Linked DNA regions of Caenorhabditis elegans. The protein of the gene in region 1 interacts with the protein of each later gene in a pairwise test. Each region holds a gene or a part of one and is shown on either strand. Other genes may lie near its edges.

The links.
Region 2: the proteins of memi-2 (region 1) and zip-2 interact in a two-hybrid assay, tested with the Caenorhabditis elegans proteins (one large-scale study listed by BioGRID).
Region 3: the proteins of memi-2 (region 1) and ZK131.11 interact in a two-hybrid assay, tested with the Caenorhabditis elegans proteins (one large-scale study listed by BioGRID).
Region 4: the proteins of memi-2 (region 1) and ztf-23 interact in a two-hybrid assay, tested with the Caenorhabditis elegans proteins (one large-scale study listed by BioGRID).

What each region holds. Positions count from the first base shown.
Region 1 is NC_003282.8:13,398,530-13,402,238, forward strand, and holds memi-2 (MEiosis-to-MItosis transition associated), read right to left. Parts: upstream 1,978-3,709; 5' UTR 1,977-1,977; coding exon 1,497-1,976; intron 1,448-1,496; coding exon 1,265-1,447; intron 1,222-1,264; coding exon 1,030-1,221; intron 980-1,029; coding exon 797-979; 3' UTR 539-796; downstream 1-538. Other genes in the region: cyp-31A5 (CYtochrome P450 family), read left to right, coding at 2,777-2,869, 2,916-3,319, 3,367-3,463, 3,515-3,609.
Region 2 is NC_003281.10:832,470-836,328, reverse strand, and holds zip-2 (Transcription factor zip-2), read right to left. Parts: upstream 2,242-3,859; 5' UTR 2,155-2,241; intron 2,025-2,154; 5' UTR 1,870-2,024; coding exon 1,861-1,869; intron 1,809-1,860; coding exon 1,493-1,808; intron 1,437-1,492; coding exon 1,116-1,436; intron 1,002-1,115; coding exon 721-1,001; 3' UTR 518-720; downstream 1-517. Other genes in the region: dos-3 (Delta and OSM-11-like), read left to right, coding at 103-514. UniProt on the Caenorhabditis elegans protein: Transcription factor that binds to the promoter and the enhancer regions of target genes. May act together with the bZIP transcription factor, cebp-2. Involved in responding to mitochondrial damage.
Region 3 is NC_003280.10:13,790,571-13,795,232, reverse strand, and holds the start of ZK131.11 (TORC_N domain-containing protein), read right to left. Parts: upstream 3,005-4,662; 5' UTR 2,954-3,004; coding exon 2,895-2,953; intron 1,399-2,894; coding exon 1,312-1,398; intron 1-1,311.
Region 4 is NC_003279.8:3,053,117-3,060,865, forward strand, and holds the start of ztf-23 (C2H2-type domain-containing protein), read right to left. Parts: upstream 6,050-7,749; 5' UTR 5,956-6,049; coding exon 5,904-5,955; exon of another isoform or gene 5,858-5,903; coding exon 5,718-5,857; exon of another isoform or gene 5,654-5,717; coding exon 5,522-5,653; exon of another isoform or gene 5,459-5,521; coding exon 5,402-5,458; exon of another isoform or gene 5,348-5,401; coding exon 5,278-5,347; exon of another isoform or gene 4,578-5,277; intron 4,502-4,577; coding exon 4,362-4,501; intron 4,309-4,361; coding exon 4,222-4,308; intron 4,160-4,221; coding exon 4,061-4,159; intron 2,483-4,060; coding exon 2,198-2,482; intron 587-2,197; coding exon 503-586; intron 426-502; coding exon 353-425; intron 1-352. Other genes in the region: pign-1 (GPI ethanolamine phosphate transferase 1), read left to right, coding at 6,198-6,357, 6,414-6,490, 6,542-6,841, 7,331-7,478.

The DNA.
Region 1 (3,709 bases):
CGGAATTGAATAGTTCTGGCAAATTGGCAAAACGGCAAAATTCCGGCAAACTGCAGGAATTGAAAAGCTTTGGCAAATTGGCAAACCGGAAAAATTCCGGAAAATTGCCGGGATTGAAAAGTTCCGAAAAATTGGAAAACCGGCAAATTTCCGGCAAATTGGCAAACCGGCAAACCATTTTTAAAACTCACAAGTACGCATAAATGAGCCAATGAGCCAATTCAATCATCGTCGGCCAGCCAACACAGAGCACAGATTATATGCCGAAACGGCAAATTTTGTGAGAAATGGAAATCTTTAGCCTCGCGATGACATTTCAGAGGCAGCAGCTGTTATTTGGAGCCCCGCACGTGGTGAGAGTGAGAACTCGAACAAAATTTAGAGAGGAGGAAAAGTTGTTGGAAAACGATCAAAGGTGAGTGTGGAGAAACGGATATGAGTAACCGGAAGAAGTTGTTTTTTGGAGTAAAGTAAAAAGAAGTTGTTTTTTGGAGTAAAGTAATTTAAATTCCAAATATTATAAAGACAACTACTGAATGTAATATATAATTCATCTCATCGTTAAAAAGATTGCAAAATCAACCAGTTCATATTCTGGCAATGTTAATTCAAGCAATATACATGTTAAACATAAGCAAAATAGTTTGGGGCAGCGGAGAATCTATATACAGGAAACGACCAAAACAAAAAAGGAAAATAAAATAAAGGGGAAAGTTAGTTGATATATTCAACAAGAACCACTGATACAATAATACAGAATTATGTACATTACAAATTATAGGACATATGTCTGGAGTTACTCGTCCTCTTCATCCAGTTTGAATGTCTCGAGGAACGTGATCAGGTCCTCGACTGGCACAATTCCCTTTCCCAGCGGGATCATGTCCTTTTCGATCTCAAATTCGTGGATTTCGACTGGATCTTCGACAATCAGCACACGTCGGTTCTTGCACTTCACTGTTTGCTCCAATTCGATGTACTGAAAATTTCATAAATTGAAAATCGAGATTTTATTGCTGCTCAACTCACTCTACTTCTCCCTGAAGTATTCCTGGCGTTCGAGTTGTTATTGTACACGATCCTCGTTTCCACGTGGCGCTTTCCTCGGATAGAACACGTGATTGATGCAGTCGAGGCCATCAGTCGGCCTTGTGAATCGAGTCCTGGCTCGAGATTTCCGTATTCCCGGCAGTTTGTGGTTCGCAGGTGACGAGTGGTAGTCTGAAAAAGTTATTGGCATGAAACAGAAAACTGTTTCTCGTACTCTGCCCTGTGATCGGTTCAACGTTGCCACCACAAAGCTGTCTGTCATCTGGAATCCTTCGTTTTCCATCTCCAGTTGTTCGAGCATAGCAAACAATAGATGGAATGGCATTTCAGTCGTTGCCTGGATCGCGAATCGAACCACATTTTGACCCGTCTCTTTCGGCTCGGCCAGGAAGGAAGTCTGAGATTAAATTTAATTCTTTCAGGAAAAATATTCTCAAGAAATTAACCAGAATCAAACTGGAGATATCCTCGACCAACAGCATGCGGCACTGAGCGGCGAAATAGTGTGGTCGCTGATTGGGATGAAGGAGCACGTGCTCGACAAGCGCTTTCTCCGATTCTCTGGTCGTGTTGAACCATCTTTGCGAGAAGAAGTCGTAGCGCTTGAGACGAAGACTTTCAATCGGCATTGTTTGAATGCTTCTGAGCACTTTGACAGCTTCATCGCGGATGACTGTCTTGCTCGGCTTCTTGTCGACGAGCTTTGGAGTCTCATCGATACGATGCAGGGAACGGTAGTTCTGATCGTCGACGAGCTCCACGTCTTCTCCATGCCCTTCGATAATTACATCATGATTGATGTTGGGTTGTGGTGGGAGGGCAGAGCAACCGGCTCGAGCGGTTTCCAGGTGATCTTCTTCGTTGTAGTTGACCACGTATCTGGTCGCTGTCAATTCGCGAAGAACGGTGCGAGATGGAGCTGACATTCTGAAAAATTTTGGTGTAAAAAATTAATGGAAAAGAAGAAAACAATGTGCTCAAGTGATTTGCAGATTAAGAATAATTTACCGATAAAGCTATGAAAAAGATTCATTAAATCTCTCTGAGCATCAGCTTAATACATCAGCAAAGAAGAAGAATTCACACGATCAAAAAATTTTGTTGGGCCTAAAATAATGAAATTGTTGCGCTGATTTTTCGCGGGGAGATCATTCATAAAAATTACAATATTCATTCAAAAATAAATACTTTTGGATTTGTTTTATTCACTTTTTTTAATGAAAAATTAACAGTGATTGGAACTTTTTAATAATTAAATCAAGATTTAAATATCAGAAAACAACAAAAATTCGTTCGAGAACTTTCTCAAGCCTACCGTACTCTTTAAAGGCGGCGCCTGAAGATTTTCACATGGCTATCACCACGACGCAAGTTAAATTTGACTTTTTACTTATAATTCGTTCTTTTTATTGCGATTTTTTAATATTTTCAGCATCGAAAAAATTTAACAAACGTTTTTCTTATTTTTAAAACGCTTTTGATGCTTTGTGCTCGTCTTAAAAAAAGCTGAAACGAATAATTCTCAAAAAAATTCGTCTTTTCTGGGTTACCGTACTCTTTAAAGGCGCATAACAATTTTCACATAGGTCTCGACAAAGCGTGGGAGAAATTTGAATTTTCAATCAAAAAACGTTTGTTTTGTTGCGATTTTCAGGCTTTTCCTCGAGTTTTCAACGCTTTTTGCTCGTTTTTTTCGCTCAAATAAATTATTTCAGAAGATTCTACAATGGGGGTTATCATCCCCGCTGTACTTCTCGCTTCGGCGACGGTGATTGCTTGGCTTATCTACAAACACTTGAGAATGCGTCAAGTTTTGAAGGTTTGATTGCAAAATTCATTTAAAGATAAATTGAATAAACTTTCAGCACCTCAACCAACCACGATCATACCCAATCGTCGGTCACGGACTCATCACAAAGCCCGATCCAGAGGGATTCATGAATCAAGTGATTGGAATGGGATATTTGTATCCAGATCCACGGATGTGTCTTCTCTGGATTGGTCCATTCCCATGTCTTATGCTCTACTCTGCCGATCTTGTTGAACCTATTTTCTCTTCCACGAAACATCTGAACAAAGGGTTCGCATACGTTTTGCTTGAGCCATGGCTTGGAATCAGTATTTTGACGAGCCAAAAGGAACAATGGCGTCCAAAGCGAAAACTATTGACACCAACCTTCCATTATGATATTCTCAAGGATTTCTTGCCGATTTTTAACGAGCAATCGAAGATTTTGATTCAGAAATTGTGTTGCCTCGGTGTAGCAGAGTGAGAATTTTAATTCTTACATAACTCTTTCGAACGTTTTATTTCAGTGAAGAAGTTGATGTTCTCTCCGTCATCACCCTTTGCACTCTTGACATCATCTGCGAAACTTCCATGGGAAAAGCTATCGGTGCTCAACTCGCGGAGGTTCGGGAAATTCTTCCATCTATTTAAATTTCTAAATGTTTTTTTTTTCAGAATAACGAGTATGTATGGGCGGTGCACACAATTAATAAGCTGATTTCAAAGCGAACAAATAATCCGTTGATGTGGAATTCATTTATTTACAATTTGTACGGTATTTAGTTTTAAAATTTTAAATTTATCATTAAAGATGATGTAGTCGAATTTTTTTTTGCTTTATTAGACTCAAAATTGTCTGAAAACTTCTCA
Region 2 (3,859 bases), on another chromosome or scaffold:
ATGATTAGGTTCTTAAACTCACAGGTTAGACTCTATAAATTGCTTTAAGAAATAATGAAAATGTTATATTTATTTCTAACCAAGTCGCAAATCTTCTTTCAGAGATCAAGTTCTAAAAGATGCCGATCAATCAGCTCCCAATCTTCCACGCGTGAAAAAAACTACAGGTGGTGCAGCAGTTCCAGTATTTTCGGACAGTGTGTTCTCCAATGCATTAGATCAATACAACTCTTTAACCGACTCTCGAGGAATCCTGCATCGCCCTCGTAGTAGATCACCATTCACTAAACCAGGGCTCTGGGAGCCGAATCCAGATGACCCACATAATCGCGATCATGCTAACAAATACTATTATCACCCGGAATCCGTGAACGTGGATTGGCTCCAGGGCCAAATCGCTTATGGTGCACATTGGGCCGTGCCAGCTGCTGGAGTTGGAGGTACTGATGGGTTTAGTGCTATTCACTTTCCCTCTATTGGAACTTTCCTTAATATTCCTGATGATTATGATTAATTATTTCTATTTTTCTACTTTATTTTGATTAATGAAAAGGAATATAAATACTATTTGCTATTGAGATGAGATGAGATAAAATGAGGTTGGTGAATAAGGGATAAGGGATAAGTAATGAGGAAAAAAACGAGAACAAAATAAAATTAAATTTGAATTTATGTACACACACAATAAAATGAGAAAAAAACGCGATCTGATTAATATATTTATCGCTTTACAAACATCATGACCAATCGCTTGTAGTCCTCGACTTGAGTCTCCAAGGTTAAAACCATTGCTTGAAGTTGAACTTTTCGCTTCTCTAGACGCTCTCTTTCCTCCTTTGATTCGCGAATTTTGGCTTGGCGCTTTTGACGAGATTTTTGGGATGCTAGATTGTTCTTATCCCGTTTATGACGGTAGTCCGATGACGAATCGGACGATACCGATGAAGTTTTGCGCCCACGTGTTATTGTCGTTTCAACTGTTGAGGAGGAAGATGATTGAACTGAAATGGTTTTTAATGTTTAAATTGAACAAAGAGCTGAGTTAAAGAATATATAAATGGGTTCAGACGATGACGTGGATTTTCCTAATTAGTGTGATACTGTCTTAAGCTTACTTTTATTATTGTGCACAAGCTGTGGAAAGAACTCGTCAACTGGATCAATGTCCGACGCTGGAGGAGAAATGTGTGAAGCGTTAGAAGGAGAGGCAATGGAATCATCATGAATGTAGGCGTCAAGAGATGTGATATCACAGCTCATGAGAGAATCCAGATCAAGAAAATCTGCATCTGGAGATGCAGCCGAGGAACTATTGGCGGCTGGTGGGAAGGCTTCTGGAACCGGTGGGAAATCGAATGCATAGTCGAAGGATGTGTACTCTGGTACATCAAATTCAAAGCTCCCGTGGGAAGCTTGTGGCGTGCTCATGTTGGGCTCTGAAAATTTTATTATTCAAATTATGATTCAAATTCGCTCAAATTCGCCAACTAACCGCTCAAATAACGGTCCGCTTTCGGTAGGGAACGTCGTGTCATTGTAGTCGTGTAGGTCGTTTGCTCGTCGAGAACCACAATTAAATCGCAATTTGGTTGATGCGTGAACTGTAGTGGAGATTGCTCGGCAGAATTGATCTGGTGAAGCTGAGGAACTGTAGTCGTCAGGCAATCCGGCAGGTTTCTGCAAGAGTTGAGGATCCGACGATGGTTGTGGTCGGCGTGGACTGCATCCTGGAGCGGTGAGTGGGCCAACGGCGGAAGTGGCGGCGACGGAGGCCAAGCCGAAAACCCGACGGCTAGTGGAGCCGATAGCTGAACAATTATTTGTAAAAATAAAATATTCGTCCAATTATGAAAAACTAACCGGCTCCATACTTGGCCTCGTCCATGAAGCAACACTGTTGACTGAACATGTTAAAATCGGTGGTTGTCTTTGCGTGATACATTGTGGAGAAAAGAAATCTTCGGGAAGGCCGTCGAAATCTAGTGACAAACGAGCTAGCTTCTAGCTAGGTGGGGAAAACTTTTCTGAAATATATTAATTATCGATTTTATTCGTTTTAATTTGAATTGTATTGATTTTTTATATTGGTGATCGCCACGTCATCGTCATAAGATAATGATTTAAAAAGGTAATTATTATTTGTATATGACAAACCTGGAGAAGGCGATGAAAGCGAACTGATGGACGTTTTGATTGCTCCGCGGACGGTGGCGGTCGTGGGACCTTGAAACTGGTCCCTTGCTGAAAAATACCACCGTTTAGGCAAAAGCATGTCAAAACAATCGATTCCCGTAAGCAAAATAGAAAAAAAAAACAAAAAGTCACCAATGGACAATTTGTCAAAACGAAAGAATGAGGCAGAGAAAACCCAAAAACCACGTTAGAGCGGACGCTCCACCCACTATTGCACAACATTTGGCAAGATTTCACATGATGTCACCCAGTCGGAGACAGACGACGGGGGTCGACAAGACACTGTGTGTCGCAAGAGGATTAGGGATGGCAGAGTGTGTTTGAATAGGACAGTGAGCGTGCGCCGACCGACACAGCCGACCAACAATGTGAACGAAGTGTGGAGAGGAATATGTGTTGATTCAGACCACAACCAAAAGATCAAGGAACTGAAACACACATTCTGACCCATCGTTGGGTTACTCAGATGGTGATCATCGGTACAAAAGTATAAATAGTATGAAAGTATTCTGATTCACATTGACAAAATTCATGAAGCATCTCTAATTGAACAAAAACTGGATTGCAGGAGGTCACAATTGATGATGATTGATTTCCAATTAGATATGGAAAATTGTTAGCTTCTCAAAAATACCTGAAGTACATGTAAAAAATTGTTCCCGTACCGTCCCAGAGAAATGTATGAAAAATAACTATTATTGTGATTCAAACAAAAATTAATCAAGCATTTATATCACAACCGACGTCACTACTTATCAAGTACGACATAATTTATTCAAATACATTGTGAATTTTTATATACAGACAAGATATGGTGTGAACTCATTACTTGTGCGTTCTATGAGCAAATTTATTAACATTTGCTTATTTTCGATATTTGAATTTAACACATAGGTATAATAACAACTTCATAGAACATATACATTCCATTTAAACAATCGCACATTGGACTTTTGCTTCAATTCTTCATAACGTCATTTGATAAGAATTGAAGATTGATAAGCGGAGTTTTCTGAGTAATCTTCGCTTTTTTCCAATGTTTACCCTGTTCAATAAAATGTATTTCTGACTAACCTTTTTGATCACACATTGCATTGACAGGACGTCGAAAGGGCGACTTGTTAGAAAATCATATGATCCATTTGAAGACTGAGAATACAAAATGTGAAAGATTTTCTTCAAATGAGTTCAGTTTATATAGTCCACTCTTGATGCAATGTTGTGCAACAGTATGTCACAAGATGTACCTAGTCACAAACTACTGTAGTTTCATAATTTTCAAAGCGGAGTACTCTCAACGTAGGAACAGTTTTTTTCGTTTATATTTTAAAGTTAATGAATCATTTATCCAAAAGGCTGCTTGCCAAAATTAATCAACATTCGACAAAGCTCCTGGTTGATTCAATTATAAAAAATAAATATTCAATTTTACATTTCTTCATTAATTTTTCTTCGATTTCCGTTTGTATGACTTTATGTTATTGAACACAAATAAGCGATTGCAATTGTTGCCAAGCAACCGGAAAAACCAGAAAAACAAAGACGTAAATTTGTAGTCAGAGCAAAATATGAAAATGAAAACCAAAAATAGAATGTGTCTGTGGCTTCAGCTTCAAAGTTCAGGAGATCAAAGGAAATTTTGAGCTAACTCCGGAGTTGGGATAAT
Region 3 (4,662 bases), on another chromosome or scaffold:
TTTCTATAAAAAAAACCGAAGCCCGGCAGGACTGGACGTTCACAGGATATTGCTCTTTTTCCCCCAACCCAAGTAGATCAAAACCCCTAATGTCCCTTTAACCTATTCCATACAAAATTAGGTCCAATCTCATAAAATTCCTTATTCATCACGTCAATTCCACCACTCAATCACCGTCTTCTTTATTTGAGAGCGGTTCCACCTCATTTCAGACGAAGAGGGCAGAGAAGACAATATATATATATATATATATATATAAAGAAATGAACACATAACATAGTACGACTACTGGAAAAATGAAACACAATTGTAGATTCAGGTTGCAGCAGCAGCAGCAGAAGAATAGGCATGGAAATGGCCAATTAGTACGGGATGGACCCCGATAGTGTGAGGGTGGACGGGGGAGACGCAGAGAAAACCAGTCATCGGGGGATACTGGGATTACCTTTTGCCGTGAAAAAAAGAGGATTGTACAGGCAACCGGGGGCAATCCCATTGTTATCCACCTAATCCTATTTGCCACCATTAAAATGCGCTTCGTGTTCCGAAGTGGGGGGGGGGGGGGGGGAATTCGAAACTTTTGAAACTTTTTAGAGTGGCCGATGATGGAGAAAATTCGGCCACCAATTTCAGGATTTTTATATGTTTTAGAACATTCAAAAAAATTGCTGAAACTGCCAAAAAATTTAATTTTATAAAAATTGATTTTTTTTCACACTTATTTATTTTTAAATTACCGAAATTTCAAAAAATTCCATTTTTTCAAACTTCATTACTTTCTAAATTTTTAGGATTTTTTAAACGAATTTTTAAAACAATACTCTGGAATTATTTATTTTTTTGGAATTTTTTTTTAATTTTTTTTTTTTATTTTCAAAAATTTTTCCGGTTTTTCAATTTTCACAGAATTTTTTTTTTAATTTTTAAATACATTAAACTTTTTCACGTGGTGTCCGAGTGTCTCATTTCGGTTTGATCTACATATTTCTACAAAAAAAGCGGGAGAAGAGACGCGAAGAGTTCTCAACTGATTTTGCATGGTTAAGAATGTGCTGACGTCACATTTTTTGGGCGAAAAATTCCCGCATTTTTGTAGATCAAGCCGTAATGGGGGGCAGCCTGGCACCACCACTTGTTTTTGAATTTCCAACACAATTTTAAAATATTTTGAAATAAATCAAAATCGATTCGGAATTTTTTTTTTTTGAATTAAAAAATTTGTTTCAAATAATCGATATCCTATTTTTCAATTCTCAGTACATTTTTAGCATACAAACGATAAAATTTAAGAAAAAAAAGTCAAAAACCAACCATTTCAGTCTTGAAAGTGGCTCCTCGGACCTTCGCTCCGTCATATTCCTGGCTCCGCCCACTTTCCACGTGCCAAATGCAACCGATCTGAAAGTTTAAAATTTTTTGGAACTATTTTTCAACTTTTAAGATGTTTTCTTTGGCTTCAAAATAGTACATTTTACATGTTTTTCTGCAAATTTCCCCATGCCGCAACCCTAAAAAACTAACCCTTTTGCCTTCATAAAACATATTGGATTGCGAAATACTCCAAACATGCCAACGTGGATTCGGAAAACTGTTTTTGTCGGAAAGTATCAGAGTTGGAAATGAGGAAAATACGTTAGAATATTATTATTTTGATTTTTCCAACAAAAAATATTTTTAAAAAAATCAGTTTTAAGAAAACTTGAAACGTTGGATTTCACGTCGAGAAATGAAAGAATTATAGGCATTTTATATAATAACAAAAAAGAAAATTAGTTTCGAGAACTGTCATGCCATTTGGGTGGCTAAATGGAAATTGGGAGAAATCGGGAGAGAACCTGAATTGGCAGTTTGCCTCCAACTGTATGTCTATAAGAAGGTATATGTCTACAAATTGTCTACCTACCTGCCTACAAGGTGACCTACGCCTACCTACAAGGCGGCCTGCGCCTACACATATTCCTGATTATATTCAGTGTTAGTTGAACAGATATTTGAAAAATAATATTTAATTGGAAAGTTGAGAAATGTGCAAAAACTAGGCGGTAGGTAGGAAGGCATAGGTAGGCCTGCGACATACGCCTACCTACAAGGCGGCTTGTACCTACACCTTGCCTACACTCTTGCCTACTTACAAATCATTCCTGATTATATTTAGTGTTAGTTGAACAGGTATTTAAACAAAACATTTAATTGGAAAGTTTACGAATGTTCAGAAACTAGGTGGTAGGCAGGCAGGCATGAACAGGCAGTATATACCTCATAGGCAGGCCTACACTCGTCCCTACTTCCTGGTCCCTTTTTTCTCACTGTTTCAGTGTTGAACATTCAAAAAATTACTTCAACTGAAAGGCAGGCATGAGGTAGGCACGTAGGCATGTAACAAAAAATTTTAAAGTTAGAATATTATTGTCATTAAACAAGTAATAGTTCTATATAATATCTTTTTCAATTTAAAAATTGTGCGATTTTTCGAAATATTGTTGATTTTGCCCGATTTGAGCACCATTACTACTTATACTACTAATATCTCAGCTCATTTTGAAAATATCAATAAACTTTTAATTACAAAAATATAGACAATTGTTAAATAAATCTTTTCTTAGTTGACAATTTTTTGATAAAACCAAAACCAACCGAGATATGAACCGGCAAAGTTAGGCTAATCGAACATATTTTCTACCTGAAAAAAAACTACCCAATTTCAAACCAGCAAATTTCCAAAATGGTTAGGAATATTAAAAAGCTGCCAACTGACGTATTTTTCAGAAATTTTTGGGCAACATTTTTAGTTGACAATTTTTTGTGAAAATTTGGAACAACCGAGATATCAGCCGGTAAAATTGAGCTAATTTTTATAAATTTTTAAAAATATTTAAATTTTGCCCAATTCTCACCTGTACTGCCGACGAGCATTGAGCGTTGCCGTCGAGCCCATCATATAGGCGTCAGGCATTTTGTGTGAGTCCCAGGCGTGTGTTTGTAGACGTCAATAGTTCAAATAATTCTGAAAATCATCATTGCAGAAAATTTTAAAAAAAACGAAGCGTATTGGGAGAAAAGGTGAATAGGGTAAAACGAGAGAGTGAATGAATAGAATGGAACGTAAATATATGAGAATAAGAAGAATGGGGCGAGAGAAAGTGTATGTATGAAGAAGCTGAAAGAGGTCACAATATTATGTAGTAGTAGTAGTACTATACCAGAATTTTTGGGTGGTGGCCGAAAAAACCAAAACTCGGCCACCATTTCAAATAGAGTCGGGGTAGGAAAATTTCAAAAATCCTATTATTCTAATAAGCTTGCTAATTTTTTCTGGCTTTTTTTTAAATAGAAATATAGAAAAATATCGGCTGGAGTTTAAATTTTCTGAGAAAAATTTTTGGCGGGAATTTTAATTTTCTGATAAAACCAATTTTGGCGGAAAATTCAAACGACTGGTTTATCTATATTTTTATATAAATTTTAAACAATAAAAATCGACTTAACAATGAGAAAAAGGCGAAGAAAGTGAGGGAAAAATAAATTTTTCAAAAAAAAAGTAAACTTGCGGGAAGAATCATAACTCGGGTCATTTTTTAGATATACAATTTTTTCAATCACAAATACAAAATACATATGAGTCCAAAATTGCATGCATTTTAGTACTCCTCATCTCAAAATCTAACTATAATAGTGGCGGTGGTCATCTCTTTCAAATATCACCCACCCCACTCGAAAGCCCTGGTAATGTGAGAAGCGCGCGAAATTCGAATCTCGCCAATCTGTGATGAGCTGAGACTATATAGTGATGGTGTGGCCGAGTTTTTCAAAAAGGGAGCAGTTTTGTATGTCAAATTTAGTAAAAAATTCCCGAAAACTAGGAACACGGCGGCGGAAGCAGTAAATGATATCGGAAAACGAACAAATAGTTCGTCTTCATCATCAATATGTGTGTGTGTGTGGTGGTGGCAAAATGACATATGTCAACATGGAAAGTGCTTGTTCTTCTCATAAAACTATCGAGACAAATGGCACATGGCGGTCGTGGTGCGGGTCGGCGATAAAAGATGTACCCTCAGGAAATTTGAGCGGAATTTATGCGACAAAGCTTGATAGAACAAGACGCATATGAAAATGAAAAAGTTAATAAAGCAGCCGACACCTCACGGGCGGTAGCGGGAGGTAGCGGGCGGTAGCGGGCGGTAGCGGGCGGTAGCGGGCGGTAGCGGGCGGTAGCGGGCGGTAGCGGGCGGTAGCGGGCGGTAGCGGGCGGTAGCGGGCGGTAGCGGGCGGTAGCGGGCGGTAGCGGGCGGTAGCGGGCGGTAGCGGGCGGTAGCGGGCGGTAGCGGGCGGTAGCGGGCGGTAGCGGTGCTGTAGCAGGGCGGTAGCGGTGCTGTAGCAGGCCGGTAGCGGGCATCAGCAGGCGGTGGCGGGCGGTAGCGGAGTTTTTGTAAAAGCCAGTAAAGTGTCCGCTGCAAATCGTGTTTTCCACGCTGCGGCCGACATCTCACGGGTACAGGGATATCCATAATTTGAACCACCTATTTCTCAGTAACCATGGGAGCTATCAAAAAATTGCCAACTAGCAAAATATTGCCTAAAAAATTGGAAAATTGGTTTCAATTTGCCAGTTAACAAGTTTTTCATAATTTTCAAAACTAAAGAGATATAAATGTTTCAATT
Region 4 (7,749 bases), on another chromosome or scaffold:
AAAACTACAGTAATACTTTAAATGACTACTGTAGCTCTTGCGTCGATTCACGGGATCTCGATTTTCGAATTTAAAACACAATTTTTTTTTTCAATTTACCCCAAAAATTTTGTTTTTAAATGTCAATTATAAATTGGATGACTAACATGAAATCCCTAATCCTAAAAAAATAATATATTATATTTCTAAAAATAAATATATTTAAATTTTTTGGTTTTTTTCACAACTTTTCCCGAATAATTTTTTAAAAAACTTTTCCATCATTATTTCAAAAACATTGAAATTTTTCTAATACTCCAAATTCAATTTTTTCAATTTTTCTAAAATATTCCCAATTCCTTCAAAAACTTACCAACAATATCATGCACTACACCAATCTCTTTGCCACGTGGCTCTATATCGGACATCTGACTTCGCGCGGAGCCCTGAAAATAAAATTCTGATTTTTTTTGTTGAGAATTTCAGAAAAAATAAAAATAATCTTATATTTAAAAATATTTACAATATTTAAAGATTCATCGGTCGATTGGACATCGTCGCCACGTAGCATTGCATCCTGTTGAGCCAGTTCTCGATTGTGAATGTTCTGGAAAAAAGGGTATCTTTTAAATTTAAAATCATTTTTGAAATATGATTTTCAGACATTTTTTTGAAAGTTCGAAAAAAATAAGCCAATTTCTGTCAAAAATTTGAATTTTTTTTCAAAATTTTTCTACATACCCTATTTATGCTCCTGATACCGAATATCAATGCAAAAAAATTCAAAAAAAAATTCCCTGATTTATATTAATTTTTTAAATTCTGAAACTCCTAATTTTAAATTCAAACGACAAATTTTGCCGCCAGAGACTAAGCCACGCCCATGATAACCGTGCCGCAGGTGTGGATTTACGAGAGATTAATATTTTTCATCCATTTTTTCTAATTTTCATACCAGTTGTCCCGATTTTTCGTAGTTTTAGATTGAAATTCTTGTGATTTCCCATAATTTATGGCTTTTTATTAATTAAAACAAATGAAATTCCGAACTTCTGCTAAAATATAAAATTTCATGTAATTTTAGTTGTTTTCATTAATAAAAAGCCATCAATTAAAGAAAGTCACAGCATTTCAATGTGAACAACGAAAAAGCGGGAAAATTGGTGTGAAAATTAAATAAAAATAGATTAAAAATATTATCTTGTAAATCCACACCTGCGGCACGGTTATCATGGGCGTGGCTTAGTCTCTGGCGGCAAAATTTATCGTTTTAATTTAAAATTAGGACTTTCGGATTTCAAAAAATTAATATAAAATCAGGGAAATTTTTTTGAATTTTTTCACATTGATATTCAGCAGGAGCATAAATAGGGTCGGCTTTTCGATTTTCGACAAAAAAATTGTAAAGAATTCAAATTTTCAAATTTTGGATAAACCTCTTTTTTTTCTATAAATTTTTCGATTTTCAAAAAAAAAGCGAAAAAAAATTCCGGAAAAATTCAATTTTTCAGTAATTTCTATACTTTTTCTTATAAAAATCGTCTTTTTTTTGAAAATCTATATATCGCCGTATGTTCTCTTACAATGTTAGTTTTTTTTTTCTATATTCGATCAAAATTCAAAATTTCAGTCATTTGTTTCTCAGAAATAAAAACGTTAAAAAATCGAAAATTTTTATTTTTCCATTTTTTTTCCAAAAAATCCTCCTTTTCTCCATAAATATTTTGATTTTCAAAAAAAAAGCGAATATCAAAAATTTTCGTTTTTCTGTTTTTTTTTTGCCGGAAATATTCAATTTTTCAGTAATTTCTATACATTTTCTCATAAAAATCGACAATTTCTTTATTTTCTCTATATTTTTTTCCATTTTTTCCATCAAAATTTAAATTTACAGTCATTTTTTCGCAAAAAAAAAACGTTTAAAAAATCGAAAATTGTTATTTTTCGACGTTTTTTTTTAAAAAAAAAACCAGTATTTTTTGATAAATCTTATGGAAAAAAGAGGAAAAAAGAGGATTCTGTAATGTTACAATTTAAAAAAATTAATTTTCAAAAAAAAATTTCGTTTTCAGATTTTTTTGTTGGGAATTTATCAAAATCGAATCTCTTCCTGTTCTGTAATTTTTTCCGATTATTAGATTTCAAAAAAAAAATCTGGAAATTTTATTTTCGATATTTTGTTTCAATTTCTTGTCCACGAGTACTACAAAATCCCAACCTTAAGATGCCGAATAACATGTGAATTCTTCGTGAAACTTTTTCCACAAACATTACAAATATACGGTCGCTCTCCACTATGTGTCTTTTCATGATGACTTTTTGCAGATGAAGAAGCAAATTGTTTTCCACATTCCCATTGACATACAAATGGACGTTCTCCTGTATGTAATCTCATGTGTGTTTTAAGAGCTCCACGTTGAGAGAATTGGCGGGTACAGTAGTGACATTGAAATGGTTTTACTCCGAGATGTGTTCGACGATGTTCATCCAGTTTGGATTGGTACTGAAACATTATTTGTTTTGTTTTTGAAAAGAAATTTCGATTTTGCAGGTTTTTCGGATTTTTTTAATATTGAATATTCGGAAGATTCAAAAATTAAAATATTTTAAATTTTTGTAATTTTCTAAAAAATTTGAAAAGCTGAAAATTCAAAATTTTTGATATTTTTCGGCTTTTCAAATTTTCAAAATAAAAAATAAATGTTTTGCAACATTTTTTTGAAAAGAAAACCTCAATTTTGCAGTTTAACAATTTTTTTTGGCTTTAGAAAACTCAAATTAATGTCCTTATTTCTGACATTTTCGAATTTTTCGGTTTTTAGAATTTTCGGAAATATTAAATTTTTGTAATATTTAAAAATGCAAATTTATTAGAATTTTTGATTTCTTGAATTTTTTGTAATTTTCTGAAAATTGAAAACTGGAAAAAATCCAATAATTTTAGATTTTTTTCGAATTTTCAACAAAAAACAGATTTTTTTGTAATTTTCAGAAAATTTGCAAATTTTTATTTTTATTATTTTTTGCAATATTCAATAATTCAAACTTATTGGATTTTTTCGCTTTTCGAAAATTCAGAAAATTACAAACATTTTTAATTCTTTGAAAATTCAAATTCGAAAAGCGGAAAAATTCAAAATTTTTGGAATTTTTCGGATTTCAGATTTTTCAGAAATATTAAATTTTTGGAATGTTTAAAAATTCAACATTTCCAATTTTTTTAAAAATTTGGTAAACTGAACATTTTCCGAATTTTCAACAAAAAAAAAGATTTTTTTTTAATTTTCTGAAAATTTGAATATTTTCGGAAATATTAAATTTTTAAACAATTTCAAAAATTTATACTGACTGAAAATTCGAAAATATTGAAAATTCAACATTTTTGGAATTTTTCGGCTTTCAGAATTTTTAGAAATATTACATTTTTGGAATTTTCAAAATTTTTGTAGTTTTCTGAAGATTTTTAAAGCTTAAATTTCGAAAATGTTAGAATATTTCGGTTTTCGAATTTTCAATATTCTGAAAATTTTGAAAATTCTTAGGCTTTTAGAAATATTCAGAAATGCGATATTTTTTGTAATTTTCAATTTTCTAAAAATTAGGTAAACTGAAATCTTTGAAAATGTTAGACTTTTTTGGCTTCCTGAATTTTCAGAAAATTTTCGAAAAATTTTTCGGCTTTTAGAATTTTTCGGAAACATTTAATTTTTGAATATTTTTAAAAATTCGAAAATATTAAAAATTCAACATTTTTGGAATTTTTCGGCTTTCAGAATTTTTAGAAATATTAAATTTTTGTAGTTTTCTGAAGATTTGAAAATCTGCAAATTTTTAAAATATTAGAATTTTTCGGCACCATGAATTTTCAATTTTTGAAAATTGTGAAAATTATACATAACACTTAGGCTTTTAGAAATATTCAGAAATGTGATATTTTTGTAATTTTCAACAAATCTTCCAATTTTCTGAAAATTCGAAAAGCTGTAATATTCAAAAAAAAATTCGAAAAAAATCACACTTAATCACTGTTTTTATGAAATTTCCAAAAAAATTGTTTTTTTCTTCTAAATTTTCCCCATACTTTAAATGTCCTAGAACACCGATCACAACTGAATCTTCCCATTTTTCCACTATTCGTCTGACCATCTGCAAATGCGACTCCGCTCGTGGAACAATCCTCCTGAAAATTAGGATTTTTTTAAATTTGAAATTTCAAAATATTTAAATTTAAAAAATTTTTACTTGTTCCGGAGAATCCCGTTGCGTCGCGTTGACCACCACATTATCAATGAGTTTGTCCATTCTTCGAGTTCTTATATATTTTAAATGCTGGAAAAAAGGAAAATTTTGATATTTAAAATAAATTTGAAATTCAGTCGTACATAGTTATTACTACTTCGAATTGGTCCTTGTGGTGATAGATCATCTTCCAAAATGTAATCAGAATCGTCGTGAGCTCCAATAAATACCGGATTTCCGAGCTCATCAATATAATCGTCATCATCATCGTCGTCAATTAGTTCTGCAATTTGTTCTGGTGAATTTTTGGATAAAAATTGGTTTTTAAAATTATTTGAAAGTAAATTTTTTGTCAGTTAAAAAATTTTTTTTTTGGCTCAAAAAAGTTAAAAAAAAATGTTTTTTTTGTTTATTTTTACATTTTTTACATTTTTATTTTAAAAGTTGATTTATTGTAGTTAATTTTTGAAGTTGCTATTGGTTTTCGGTTCTTAAACGTTTTTTTAGTTTAAGAAAATATTTTAAAAAAGATTTTTGAAAGCTCTTTTTTCAAATTTTTTTCTATTTCTTTGGTTTTTTTTTGATTTTTAAAATATTATTTGAAAAGAATTTCCAAAGGTTGTTTTTCAAAATTACAAAAAAAAATTTTTTTTGGTTTTTTTAAAAAATTTTTTGTCGGTTTCTGCGTTTTTTTTGTTAAAAAAATTTAAAAACCGTTAACCGTTAAAAAAAAATATTTTAAAAATTTTTTGGAAAAGTTTTCTTTTGATTTTTTTTTGTTCAATTTTCTGTTTTCTGTGGTTTTTTTTGTTTAAAAAAATTTAAAAACTGTTCAAGCAGTATTTTTGGAGATTTTTTTTTTCAATTTTTCCGGTTTCTGTGGGTTTTTTGGTTAAGAAAGTGAAAAATATTTTTGGAAGTATTTTTGGAAGCAATTTTCATACAAAAATCATTGGTTCCAGCTGAAAATGACATTTTAAAAATTGATTTTTCGAGCAAATTTTTGATTTTTCCTATATTTTTTCCTGTATTTTCTGAATTTATCGATTTTCCATGAACCTTCTATATTCTCATCATCATCCAGAACTCCAAAATCGTCTTCATCAGGCCCTCGGTGATCCACAATTTCCTGAAAAACTAGAAAATAAAAAAAAAAGTTTAAATTTATTTTTTTGAAACTAACATCATATTGGCTACCCTCCGGCGGTAATAATATCATTTGTGCGGTGCCTTGCTGCATCTGAAAATTTAAAAAAAATCGATTTTATTCGGAAATCAATTCAAATTCTGCAAATTTTCGAACCATCGGCTGTAGAACTGTCATCTGTGTGCTCGAATCTTGTTGCGAAGTTTCATCGATTTCAATTGCAATCGAATCGGCAACCATTTTCCGGAAACGCTTCTCATCCTCCAGGTTTCGCTTGAATTCTACGATCTGAAAGCAAAAAAAAAATTAAATTTCGTGGAAAACTCCAGTTTTAAGTTATTTTTAAACTTACAGCCACATCCGAATGATTCTGAGCGAAATGATCCATTAAACTAATCGCACTGAGTGCCGGAAAATCACAATATGCACATTTAAACGGAAAAGCTTGCAAATGCCGGCTCCAAATGTGACTTTCCAAGTGCTCCATAGTTTCTAAAAAAGAAAAAATTGTGTAAAAATCGATATTTCTGGCACTTACGCTCTTCGACAGTGCATTCACAGCATCGGAATACGATTGGATATCCTATCATTTGATTATTCAAGCGAAAAATTCGAGAAAAATTGATTTTTTAAATAGTAAACGTTAGTATTAATCAGCGAGAATTAAATAAAAATATAAATGGCCTAGAATCCGACACCTCGTCCCCTCGTCCCCGGGCCGGCGCAGAGCAATCGAGCAACAACGTGTACTTTACACTTGCTCTTTCCCCACTTTAAACATTTGAGAAGAAGAAGAAATAATTTATATTAATACGGGGATAAATATCCCCTAATGTCGTGGAAGTTTCTAATCGCCAGCATCACTGTGCACCTCGTCCTTATTTATTCAATTTTCGATGTCTACTACACAAGCCCCCTGGTTCATGGGATTCCTCCACAATTTATAAATAGTCAGGAGGCTCCTGCAAAACGGATTTTTATAATTTCAGCAGGTTTTTCGATTACATTCAAGGTTTTATGGTTATTTTTCAATAAAATCGAATTACAGACGGCTTACGATATGACACATTTAATAAATATCCCGACAAATCTCCATATTTACATTCAATTATGAATGAGAGAAAGGTTATTGGAAAATCGATAATAAAACATTTAATTTATTAATTTATTATTCAGGGAATCTATGGACTATCCCGTTCTCATATCCCAACGGAATCCCGGCCGGGCCACGTGGCAATATTCGCTGGAATTACTGAAGATATAAGTGCAGTTGCAAAAGGATGGAAAAAGAATCCAGTTCAATTCGATAGTGTATTCAATAGATCGTCGTATAGTTGGATGTGGGGAAGTCCGGATATTGTGAACCTTTTCGATGATCTTCCCAACGCTGAATCATTCTCATATTCTGCAGACGAGGAGGATTTCGCGTCGAAAGATGCTTCTAATTTGGATAAATGGGTTTTTGAGCATTTTGAGGTATAGGAATTTAATTAAACGTGGTGTAGTCGAATTTTTTTATCGCTTGACAAGACTCAAAATTGTCTGAAAAGACCGAGTTTCATAATGAAACTTCTTGAAAACTTCTCAAAAAAAAAGTTATGACGGCTCAAAAAATCGGCTAAAATTAGTTGAAATTTGAAATTTGACCGACTTGTCAAGCGGCTGGAAACTAATTTTTTTGAAATCACTGTAAAATTTTGAGTTTAAAATGTAATTATTTTGCGTTTTCAACTTCATTTAGGTATTTTAAAGTCGATCGGTCAAATGACAAGTGACAAGTCGGTCAAATTTCAAATTTTAACTAATTTTAGCCGATTTTTTGAACCGTCATAACTGTTTTTTTTTTAGAAGTTTTCAAGAAGTTTCATTATGAAATTCGGTGTTTTCAGACAATTTTGGGTCTAATAAAACAATGAAAAAAATTTGACTACACCAACTATCTTAATAAAACGTTAAAGCTTCCAGAACTTCCTGGAAACTGCGAAAACCGATGAAGCATTGAACGATAAAATGCGGGAACAGAAAAGCATATTTTTCTTGCATTTACTCGGAATCGACACGAATGGGCATGGGAATAAGCCAATGTCGAGGCAATATATTGATAATATCAAAGGTTTGTTGTGTGAAGAATCAAGAGAGAGATGAGCCGAAAAATATGCAATCTTTCGGAAAATTTGTAAAAAAACCACGAATTTCGGCCGAAATTAAATTTTTAATCAAGAAAAAACTGTACGAAACCAAGTTTTGTAAGCAAATCCTGAAAACAGCTGAAAACGGAGCAAATCTGTCGGAAAATTTTGCAAAAAAGCTAAAATCTTCAGAATTTTGTTAATTTTTGACCAAAACCGCCTAAAAACTGCCTAAAAACAAAAAGAAAAGGTTCA